Linked DNA regions of Oryctolagus cuniculus. The protein of the gene in region 1 interacts with the protein of each later gene in a pairwise test. Links are inferred from orthologs where the notes say so. Each region holds a gene or a part of one and is shown in the gene's direction. Other genes may lie near its edges. The genes, in order: PGBD1, ZNF496 and NR4A1.

Region 1 (3,023 bases):
GGAGGATTAGCCTATTGAGCCATGGCACCAGCCAAAAAAAACTCTAAAAATTTAATTTACTTCCTTGAAAACCCCATACAAATCCATTAATTTGCAATGAATTTGAGTTCCTTTTTTGTTTTGTTTTGTTTTTCCCAAGAGAATTATGTCACCAGATGACTGTAGAGCTAGGAGAGGCTAATTCCTCCTGTGTTCACAAATTTTCTGAGAGGTGTGAGGAGACCTGGTAAATTACCACCTCCTTCCTTGTCCAAGTTCAAGAACAATTGACAGGGACATGGGAGTACAGCAGATGCTTCTGGAAGCCTCAACTTTACCACTGACAGAAGGCAGACTGGAGGAAATGGCTCAGAGACAGAGCTAAACAGGCTTGCACTAGCAGAGAAGGAGTAGAGCGGGTGTCTTCCTGAACAGGGCAGAAAGGAAAGTGGAATGTCTGTAGAGGGAGGGGCTGCACAAAGGATGTCAGATTTGCTTCTCCTGGAATTCACGGTTAGTTATGACCTGAGGAGTGAGTGAGAGGTGGGAGAGGCCAGAAAATTTAATTCTACCTGAAATCCTCCCTACAGAATTCTGAGCAGTGACAAGCAGCCAACCCCCCAACCTTCTGTCTGTCCTGCCCTGGGTTACAAAAGATTTCTGCTTCAGATTTGTCATGTGTGAGAGGCTGAGACGAGGACTTGGTAGCATGTACTCTTTTTACTTTCCCAGAGATTGCGCGCCTCACATCCCTGGTAGTACTGCTGTTCCCACTGAAAGGACGGTCTCCCATTTGAATACGCTGAAGGCCCGTCTCCCACGGGATTCGTGGGCCCGGATGCACATCGCATCCTTGCAGTATGCCGCAGGAGACATTACCCGGAAAGGGAGAAAAAAGGACAAAGCTCGAGTGAGTGAATTGCTCCAAGGACTCGCGTTTTCTGATGACTCAGATGTGGAGGAAGATAACGAGTCCGAGACCCAGCCTGCTCAGAAGAAGCCGAAGGTGTCTGGTGTCCCGGAGAGGAACTGGACTAAACGAGACATTCAGCCCAACTTTCCAAGCTGGTCGGCATTGGATTCTGGACTTTTAAATCTCAAGAGTGAAAAGTTGAACCCAGTAGAGCTCTTTGAGTTATTTTTTGATGATGAAACATTCAATTTGATTGTCAATGAAACCAATAATTATGCTTCTCAAAAAAATGTCAACTTGGAAGTCACAGTTCAGGAAATGAGGTGTGTGTTTGGTGTCCTGCTTTGGAGTGGATTTGTAAGGCGTCCCAGGAGGGAAATGTATTGGGAAGTCTCTGATGCTGATCAGAACCTGGTCAGAAATGCCATTAGAAGGGATAGATTTGAATTGATTTTCTCATACTTGCATTTTGCAGATAACAGCCACCTAGATCAAAAGGATAAGTTTTCAAAATTGAGGCCTCTCATAAAGCAAATGAATAAAAATTTCCTCTTGTATGCTCCCCTAGAAGAATATTACAGCTTTGATAAATCAATGTGTGAATGCTTTGATAGTGACCAATTCCTGAACGGAAAGCCTATTAGAATCGGCTATAAAATTTGGTGTGGCACAACCACACAGGGTTATCTGGTTTGGTTTGAGCCCTATCAAGAAGAATCAACCATGGAGGCAGATAAGGATCTTGATCTTGGATTAGGTGGAAATCTAGTGATGAATTTTGCTGATGTCCTTTTAGAGAGAGGTCAGTATCCCTATCACCTGTGTTTTGATAGCTTCTTTACAAGTGTCAAATTAGTGTCAGCTTTGAAGAAAAAGGGCGTGAAGGCAACAGGAACAATACGTGAGAATAGGACTGAAAAATGTCCACTGATGAACTCAGAACATATGAGAAAAATGAAGAAGGGGCATTTTGATTTTCGAGTGGAAGAAAATGATGAGATAATTTTGTGCCGTTGGCATGGCGATGACATTATCAGTCTGTGCTCCAATGCTGTAGGCATAGAACCAGTCAGTGAGATAAGTTGTTTTGCTGACGATCAAGAGATCCCTCAGGTAAGTCAACCGTCCATTGTGAAATTGTTTGATGAATGCAGGAAAGGTGTAGCTAAAATGGATCAAATTATTTCCAAATATAGGGTAAGAATAAGGAGCAAGAAGTGGTACTCAATTTTGGTGAGCTACATGATTGATGTAGCTGTGAACAATGCATGGCAGTTACACAGAGCCTGCAACCCAGGTGCCTCTCTAGACCTACTGGATTTTCGAAGATGCATTGCCCATTTCTACTTGGGACATGATACTAATCTGCCAGATTAAGGCAAATCAAATGGAAGTAGAATGGACCAAAAGACACAGAAAATTCTAACTACACATTAGATTGTATCCTACCAAAGCAAATTTGATGTATATAATGAAACTAAGTAATTAAGTAGTATTTTTAAATCAGATGTTTATATAGAATTTCAAATACTATTATAAAAATTACCTGTGAAAATGTTGACCTCCAGTGGTACCTTTCTCTGTCTAATTTTGTGTCAGGTGTGGGAAATCACTTATTTGCTGGATTATTTTGTGCAGTTAAAAAGAATGAAATCCTGCCTCTTTAAAAACATTTTCTTTAGAGAATGCCAATTTAAAAATGCAGGCAATGTCAGTACCATAGAATGGCACTAAATCCACAGTCCAAAATAGAAGTAGAGCCCATAAGTAGTGATGATCTAAATAAAACATGGGTAATAAGAGGCTGAAGACTGCAGCATTGGTGAGAAAACTGGCTCAGGTTGTGTGTAGGTGAGGAGGGCTGCCTGGATGTTCAGAGAGGAGAGAACCCTGAAGAAAAGTCCAAAGGTAGATCAATGCCTGTGATATGCAAAGTGGGTCCTGCTCCAACTGTGAGTTAGCAGAAGTCAAAAAAGGGAGCACACAGTGCAACAGAGTAACAGGAGAGTCATGAGAAGGAAAGATAAAAGAGTTAAGTTGACATCATACTCCTGAGGAAACTACCAAAGGAGATTAATGAATGGGTCTGGAATTAGTGTCACCAGTGATAGATAATCCAATGAGAAATGGA
Region 2 (4,392 bases), on another chromosome or scaffold:
AGGGAGCTGGATTGGAAGTGGAGCAGCCAGGACTCATGGGGCGCCAGCATTGCAGATGGCTGCTTAACCCTTTACCCCACAACGCTGCCCAGACTCTACTCTTGTTTCCTGGCCCTTGCCCCTTCCCACCAGCAGCCAGTTGTGTTCAGGATGCCCAGCATGGCCTGGAAGGCCACCAGGACCACAGGTGCCTAGCAGGTCCTCAGTGCAGGTTTGCTGAACGACTGAACCATCCCACAGACCACAAAATGCAGTTGGCAGCATCATCCCTGTTTCTTGAGGAGGAAACCGAGGCACAGAGGAGTTACAAGGGCCTGTGGTCATCTGGCTAGGAAATGACGAGGCCCCAGGAGTTAGCCCAGGTGCTGACTCAGAACCCAGACTCTGACCTCTGAGCTGAGCTAAATGCAGAAGGAACACAGAGGAGGGGCTTGGCAGGGAGCTGTCTCTCAGAGGAAAGATCCTAACTGCTGGTGGGACCAAGCTGATGGCGGCAACCTCAGAACCCTACATTTTACCTACTTTAGAACTACAGGGTGCGGAGCAGCGAGCACCAATTCCAGTCCCCTAGAGCTGGTCCCAGACTACTCATGGACGAGCACACCAGCTGTGACCAGCACCTGAGTCCAGGTGTGGCTCCTGGCAGGTGCTCTTACAGGGCCCTTCCACATCCAGCATAGCCCCTGCCACTTGGTGGAGAGCCAGGCCAACTGGGGTCTGGCTGGCAGCCCAGGAGGAATCGCTGTCCACACAGGAGCCCCACTCCTTCCCTAAGGAGCCAGAGGATCCCAGCATCTAACTAGTGCTGGCGCCCATTGCAGTCAATGCAGGAGGGGAGGAAGGGGCTCAGGCCCAAGGCACCAGGACAGCCATGGCCACTGGGCCTCTGGTATCCAGACAACCCTCCACCTACTAGACCAGGCCACCTTTAGGGAGGAGGGCTTCCCACTGCTTGCCCTTGAGGGTCTGAAGGAGTCTGCCTTCCCTCTCCTCTCCTTGCCCTGGAGGGGGACAGAGGATGGAGCAGGGCGTGGAGCGCTGGCCACCCAGACTCAGGGCCTGACAAACCGGCTGGCCCGGGGAAGCCCCATCTGAAACGTGGGTGACAGCACCGGGGCAGAGACCCTAACTCCTTCACCACCTCCTGGGGTCCAAGTCTTGTCTCCCCTCCGCCCCTCGGCTGAGCCAACGGCCGCGCCTTCGGGACTCGCGGAGATCAGGCGGCGGTGGAGCAGGGAGGGGGTGGGAGAGGCCTTCCTGCGCCCCCAGACCGCCCTCTCCGGGAGTGGGCGAGGGGCACCGGGAGGGGAAGCGCCCCTGGCCCGCCTTCCCGGGACGTGGGCGAGGGGCACCAAGGAGGGGAACGGCCTGGGCCGGCGCGACCCCCGCCTGGGCCCTCGGCACGCCGGGGCCGGGGCCCGGGCGGGGCGGGGCGGGCCCGGCGGTGTCGGGTGTCGGGTGTCGCCCCGCGCACACCTCGGCCGGGGGCGGGAGCGAACCACTGAGATGCGGAGACCTCCGCCGTCCTAGAGCGGAGCAGGAAGTGTCCCGGGGGAGGGCGCGCGGGGTCCGGCCTTTCCGCGCCTCGGCGTCCGCGGGCTCGGCGGCGCCCAGCGGCCGGGGGCGCGCGGCGGGCAGCGGCGGGGCGGGCGCGAGGCGCGGCCGCGCGGGCGGCGCCGGCCCGCAGCGAATCGGGCCCTGCGGGGAGGCCTCACCGGAGAGGATCAGCGGCGGCCGCGGCCGGGGGCTGGATCCGGCGCCGTGCGAGGGGCCCGGGTGGACGCCGGGGCCGAGCCAAGGCCGCGAGGTGCGCGGGGTGGGAGGAGAGTGCGCTCCTCGGAGGATCCCGGCGGCCGCGGCCCCCGGGGCCGCCCCTCGCGTCTGCCGGGCCGAGCTCGCGCCAGGGGCCGGGGGACAAAGGGGCGAGGGGCCTGGGTACTGGGGCTGCAGGTGTGGCTGGGAGTCCCGGGCCGGTGCGGAGCGCGGGCAGGTGGCGCCGACGGGTCACAGCCGCTGGCCCAGTGCCCGCTCCGTGCGCCGGCTGCACTGCAGAGACCTGGGTGCCCATCGGAGGTTTTGCAGCTGCTCTGGCCTCATGGGTCCTCCTGCAGAGCAGGAGCCAGGCCCGCACGGCCTCCTCACCGGGACGCCTAAGCGGCGCTCACGCCCAGGTGTCAGTGCAGAGGGGGTATGAGAAGCAGATGCCGGGCAGGGCACCGTGCCGCCACCTGCCCGCCCACTTTTCCGGTGCTCAAGATGTGCCTCGGGGACCCGCGCTCAGCTGCAGTGGCCTCAGGTCCCCCCGACGGCAGCGGCTTCTGCGGGGCTGTGCCTCCTGCATTACAGCCTGGGATTCAGGAGCTCTGAGCCCGCCGTGGGAGTGCGGCGTCCCGGCCTGCGCGGGAAGGACTGTGGGTGGAGCCCAGAGCAGGGACCAGGTCTCTGGGTGGGGACAGGGCGACTTCAGATGGGGTAGATGTCCGAGTGAGTTGGCCGACAGACTCGTGGGAAGACCTGGTGCTAGGTGCCTCCCTGTTTTTCTGTGGCAACCTGCAGGTGCGGCCTCTGGTGACCTCCGGGTCCGGCCCAGGCTCTTCCCAGCCGCGCTGCAGCCCAGGGTGGGGTGCTCCGAGTGTGTAGGCCCGCAGGGCGAGGGCAGCCACTGGAGCTCCGAAGCTTCAAGGTAGAGGGCTGGGCACCCGTGGGTCCTGTCCAGATCGACCTGCTCTCCCGAGGGCCACTGGAGGCTCTTCTCCCGCTCCCCCACCCCTTCCACCCCCACGGCATTAGGGACCCAGGCGGTGGCACTGTCCTGTGTCCAGAAGGGTTGTTACGCACTCCAGGGCTTTCCCGACCCCCTGCCCCAGGCGTGACCCCGGGACCCAGCGTCGAAGCCGCGATTTCTGTTTGGAACCAGGTTTGTCTTCCGCCGCTGACCCCGTCACTGCAGCTGGTCATGCCCACGGCGCTGTGCCCCCGAGTCTTGGCTCCGAAGGAGAGCGAAGAGCCCCGGAAGATGAAGAGCCCCCCAGGGGAAGACCCCGGCCCTCGCGCCGAGCCGCCCAGCCCGGAGTCCTCCCGCCGCCTCTTCCGCCGCTTCCGCTACCAAGAGGCGGCGGGGCCGCGTGAGGCGCTGCGCCGCCTGTGCGAGCTGTGCCGGGGCTGGCTGCGGCTGGAGCGGCGCAGCAAAGAGCAGATCCTGGAGCTGCTGGTGCTCGAGCAGTTCCTGGCCATCCTGCCCCGAGAGGTGCAGAGCTGGGTGCGGGCGCAGGAGCCAGAGAGCGGCGAACAGGCAGTGGCCGCGGTGGAGGCGCTGGAGCGCGAGCCGGGCCGGCCCTGGCAGTGGGTGAGCTGGCGATCAGCCCCGGTCCGCGTGTGGGAGGGGCCACTGCACCTGCCCGGAAGGAGCCTGGGGTGGGCAACTGTGGAGTTGTGGTGAGCCCCAGCCCCGGTGTGCTCTGCCTCAGTCTGAAAAGCCCCCTCTGGGGTTGCAGCTCAAGCACTGTGAGGACCCCGTGGTGATTGAGGATGGGGAGCAGGAGCAGGAGCAGCTGCAGGCGGAACCGCACAGGGACCTTGCTGGGGGCCCAGACACCGAGCCCGTGGCCCTGGCTCAGAGCCCGGGGCTCCCAAGCAGACCTCCAGGCCAGCTCAGTGGGGATGCAGGTACGCAGCCCCTGGCGGCCCTGTGTGGTGGGTGTGGGCTTTGTTAGGGTGGTGGCTCTTGACTCCCCTGGCCCCTGAGGAGCTGTGAGCCATTCCCAGAGTGTGGGTCCGTCCCTAGGACGATGGACTCAGAGCCTTATGGGGACTTCTGCCCTCCCAGAGGGAGCGCTTGCAGAGGTGGGTGTCTTGGAGGTGCATCTCTGCACCGTGTCCACAGCTGTGGCCTGAGCTTCCGGGAACCTGTGGCCCCAGCTGAGCGGTGGCCTGCAGGGTCCTTGTGGTGTTCCAGGGAGGCACAGGGAGGTGGCAGGCCCAGGTGTGGTTCCAGTGCCATTGGATGGGAGGAATCCTGGTTGTGCAGTAGTCTGGGAGGCCAGGGGTCTGCTGTCATCCTTGGCATTGTAATCAGCTTTTCACTAGAAACAAAACACCTGTTAAATCCACATGCAATACTGTACAGGATTCTGCATGGTTAAGGTGAGGTGGGTGTGTGAATTCCAGGGCTGCTCACTGGGCCCAGGCACAGGGGCTCTGTCACCGACTTAGGAGGGTGGGCACCTGGGTGTGTTCCAGTCTGGGTAGGTCTGGGCTCACCCTCTGGAGCTTTACCTCCTGAAACAGCCCTTCAAGTGCAGTCACAGCCTGTGCTGCTGTAGGGTTGGAACCTCAGCATGAACTTGGGAGCACATCCTGCCAGAGTCAGTGTCTGTGTATACGGCCTGGGCC
Region 3 (4,118 bases), on another chromosome or scaffold:
TGCCTGGGAAAGCAGCAGAGGATGGCCCAAGTCCCTGGGCCCCTGCACCCATGTGGGAGATTCAGATGGAGGCCCCAGCTCCTGGCTTATGCCCGGCCATTGGGGCTGTTTGGGGAGTGAACCAGCAGATGGAGGATCTCTCTCTGTAGCACTGCGTTCCAGATAGGTAGGTAGGTAGGTAGGTAGGTAAATAGATAGATGGATTTTGACCCAGGAGTACTGGCGTGGGCTGGGGCGTTGCTATTTTAGGAGTGCCCGAGGTACCTCCTAAGAGTTTCTGGATGGATATTGGATCCCAATGGCCACATCCGTGTCCCAGCACCCGGGACCTGCTGACCGGCTCAGCGACAGAGGGCAACGGAGGGCTTCCCCACTGGCGGCGGCTCTTGGGGGTTCAAGTCTACACCAGGAGTTGGACCAGGCGGGGAGGGGGGTGGCGGCGGGGGTTGGAGCCGGCTGCCCACTAGACCGGGTTGTGGACTAGGCTGAAGCCGGGTGAGGGAGGCGCGCAGCATATCAGTGCCCACGCTCGCCCGCCCTGAGAGGTGCTTAGGGCTGGGACGCCAAGGCAGATTCGGCCCCCGGTAGGGGGGGAGGGTGGTTCGCAGCCGCTGCGACCCGCGGTGGGGGCGGAGACCAGGCGGGAAGCAGGTGGCAGCGCCCGAGTGAGCAACCGCTTCTTGGGGCAGCTGATCGCGTCGCCTTAGGAAATCCCGGAGACCAGGTGCAGCCCCTGCCGCCGCCCACGCGGGGGCCTTCCCCCGGCGCGCGCCCAGGCGGGACCCGTGGCCCTGCAAGCTCCGCCCCTAGGTGCCCGCGGCGGCCACGCTCCGGCCGCGCTGGTTCGCGGAGCTGCGGGGCGGCGTCGCCCCCTGGCGGGAAGGCTTGGGACTGGCGCGTCCGGCTTTCCCTCCTGGAAATGTAGGGATGTCGGTGCCGGCCCCACTGTCTGCCAGGAGTCAGGGCCTCTCCCTCAGGTTAGCCCGGTCCCGCCCGCCAGCCCCGGGACGCTGGGAGCTGGCAGGGGGTGCTTCTGCTGCCGCTGCTGCTGTGATGACAAACAGGGGGTCGGACCTTGCCCCCTGTCCAGCATTGCACGTGACCAGCGTCCGCAGAATTCCTCACCTCAGCATCTTCCCGCTCAGCCCTGTACCGATGCGCTTGCCTCGGGGTAAAGGCGCTTTGCTTTCCCTGGCCTCACCCGGGTGCCCGCTCTTGCAGAAACGCACCCTGCTGCGGGCCCCTGTATAATCAGCTCTCATTGCACGACGTCACCCCTCCACTAGAAGGCACGTGCAAGAAAAGTGGAGGCTCTCCGAGGTTCTTTATTCACCCCTTCGGTTCCTGCAACCTGGCGCACGGTCCGCTCTGCTTACGCTCGGGCGTGCACGTCCGTCCGACAGCCTTGCTCCCTTCCAAGGGGCGGCAGTGCCACTTGTGCCCGGTGGAGGGCGCCACCGCCCAGCGCTCCGGAGTGCAGGTGTCTCAGCGAAGCCCGAAGGCCTCGGCGCTCCCACCGCTGTGACCGGAAGCGGGAGGGCCCCCCGCGCTAATCTGCCCTGGCAGGCGGAGCTGGCATGCTCTGGCTGCATGGGCCGGCGCGCTGTGTGCCGCAGGCCAGAATGCCCGGACTGGTGGCTGGGACACAGCGCTCAGCAGCTGATGGAGCCATCACAGCCTGTCCCGGGCGCACAAGACGTTCTGCGAAGGTAGACACCTGGCCGATGTGACTGCTGTGCGTCTGTAACCGGTCGTGGCAGCAGACTGGCAACCAGAGGGCCAATTAGAGGCGACTTAGAGGAGTCTCGAGGCTGCCCCGGAGGTGAGTTTATGAAGGGGATTAAGACGGCGAAGGAGACGGAGGTTAAAAATAGCAACCACTTTTCACCAGGAGCTTATTAGGAGCCAGAGCTGAGGACAGCGCCTCCAGACATTGTCTAATTATAGCCAACACTTATACCGGCGTTGCTCTCGCGCCAGGAACTGCCTGAGCGCCTCGGCCAGGCACGCAGCTGCTCCTCACGGTAGCTCAGGGCTGTAGGTGGCATCTCTGTCCCTGTCCCGCACATGGGGAAACTGAGGCACAAGGGCCTAAAGAACTGGCCCCAGGCCACGCGCCGGGCTGGGATGAAGACAGCTAGGAGTTATCATCAGGCCCAGCACACCTAAAAGACCATGTGAAGCCACCCAAGAGCAGGTGCATCTTAGCCCAGTGTCACCACCAGGCTGAGCCTCCCAGCGCCCACAGAGGTGGCCGCAGCGGTGGGCACAGGTGCAACAGTGGACACAACGCCTCCTCTTCTAGTGGTGCACGGGGACAGAGAACAGAGGCCAGGGCAGCTGGAGGAGTTTGCTCCACGGGCTTGGCTCACAGGAGGGAGAAGCCAGGCCATGGCGGAGGTGTGCTGGTGGCTGTCACCCCCACGCCTGTTGATGGTGATTCCACCCAGAATCTTGGGCTCCGTCCACCCACGTCCACGGGGCAGCATGCACTCTGAGGGGCTGGCCCTCCACGGAGGAGACTGGAGCATGCCTGCCCTTGCTCCAAGTACCCACCACTCAGCTCCTGGCTGCCAGCTTTTACATAAGCTGCTCCATACCAGGGCTGGCCGGGCTGGGCTGGGGGCATGATGAATGGTTCTGGGCCGTCAGCTGACAGCCCTGTGCTCCCGAGGTGACCTGAGGGCCCATCGGCAGCTCGGGTTACCCAGCCCTTCCCGGGAGGGCAGTCCTGCCTGGCTTGCAGAGGACCGTCCCAAAGTGCCTCTGTGTCTGGACATTTATGGTGTGGGTGCTGAGGGACCGCCCCGCGCACAGCCACGCCGCGCCCACCGCTGGGTCTCTGCAGCCGGCGCCGGGGGAGTTGGGGGCTCCCCTAGCACCTCGGAGTCCTGAGCCTGAGGAATTGCAGGTGGGAGGGGAGTGCACGCCAGCCGCATTCCCATGCCTCCCATTCCAGTCCGCTCTGTCCCTGCACTTATGGTCGTGGACACAAGGGGGCGCCCGCACACCCTGATGCCCACCGCAGAGGACAGCACCAGACACACCAACCCCGAGGTCCTGAGTGGCCTGGGCTAGACTCTCACAGACCACGTGGGGAGTGGGACGGTGCGCCTCCGGGGGCTGCGCTCATGTGCTCAGACCTATGGGGCCACCCGGATCGTGCACCTGTTGACACCTGCTGCTGAACAGATCAGGCCAGCGTTTAACCCAGCTATTAGGATGCCGGTTAAGACGCCCACGGGCCCCATCCTAGTGTCTGGTTCAAGGCCTGGCTCCAGCTTCCTGCCAATGCAGAGCCTGGGAGGAGGCAGTGATGACTAGAGATCACGTGGGAGACCTGGATTTAGTTCCCAGCTCCCAGTTTTGGCCCAGCCCTGGCCATTCTGGGCATGAATCATCAGATAGGAGCTCTGTCTCCTTTATTTAATTTTTTGAATTACTTATTTGTTACTTACGTGAAAGAAGCAGACGGCCTATTTGGTCATTTCCCCCAAAAGTCTGTAATAGCCGGGGCTGGGCAGGGCTGCAGCCAGGAGACGGGATGTCATCCAGGTCTCCCACATGGGGGCGGGAACTCGACCACTGGCGCCACTACCGCCGCCTCTCCGGGTCTGCCCTGGAGTCGGGAGCTGGCCCTCGAACCCAGGCACTCTGGTGTGGGAGGTGGCTGAACTGCTAGGTCTGGTACATGCCCCTCAAATAACAGTAAAAACCTTCCCCAAGAAAATAGTAATGCTTTATAAATTACTAGGTGTTACATCCCCTAATTGGCTGGTGCTGTAGTGCAGCAGGTTAAGCCATAGCCTGCAGCGCCGGCATCTCATATGGGCGCCAGTTCAAGTCCCGGCTGCTCCACTTCTGATCCATTTCCCTACTAATGTACCTGGGAGAGCAGCAGAGGAAGATGGCCCAAGTCCTTGGGTCCCCATACCCATGTGGGAGACCCGGAAGAAGCTCCTGACTCTTGTAAATACACACACTCACACACATGCATACACATTCATGCACACGTGCACACACGCGCACACATGCACACCTCTCTGCTCTCCTTGGTGCTCACACACGCGGCCCAGACTCCCTCTGAACTCCTGCAGCAGCGCCCCTCCCCCACCCCC

Evidence for each region.
Region 2: the proteins of PGBD1 (region 1) and ZNF496 interact in binary tests that used the Homo sapiens proteins (3 or more experiments, as listed by UniProt). The two-hybrid records come from large-scale screens. The link is inferred for Oryctolagus cuniculus from reciprocal best matches to the Homo sapiens genes PGBD1 and ZNF496.
Region 3: the proteins of PGBD1 (region 1) and NR4A1 interact in binary tests that used the Homo sapiens proteins (3 or more experiments, as listed by UniProt). The two-hybrid records come from large-scale screens. The link is inferred for Oryctolagus cuniculus from reciprocal best matches to the Homo sapiens genes PGBD1 and NR4A1.

The regions. Positions count from the first base shown.
Region 1 is NC_091436.1:153,755,498-153,758,520, forward strand, and holds the end of PGBD1 (piggyBac transposable element-derived protein 1), read left to right. Parts: intron 1-711; coding exon 712-2,269; 3' UTR 2,270-2,451; downstream 2,452-3,023.
Region 2 is NC_091437.1:1,716,853-1,721,244, reverse strand, and holds the start of ZNF496 (zinc finger protein 496), read left to right. Parts: upstream 1-1,556; 5' UTR 1,557-1,807; intron 1,808-2,556; 5' UTR 2,557-2,683; intron 2,684-2,917; 5' UTR 2,918-2,956; coding exon 2,957-3,346; intron 3,347-3,494; coding exon 3,495-3,666; intron 3,667-4,392. UniProt on the Homo sapiens protein: DNA-binding transcription factor that can both act as an activator and a repressor.
Region 3 is NC_091442.1:55,341,600-55,345,717, forward strand, and holds the start of NR4A1 (nuclear receptor subfamily 4immunitygroup A member 1), read left to right. Parts: upstream 1-1,309; 5' UTR 1,310-1,822; intron 1,823-4,118. UniProt on the Homo sapiens protein: Orphan nuclear receptor. Binds the NGFI-B response element (NBRE) 5'-AAAGGTCA-3'. Binds 9-cis-retinoic acid outside of its ligand-binding (NR LBD) domain.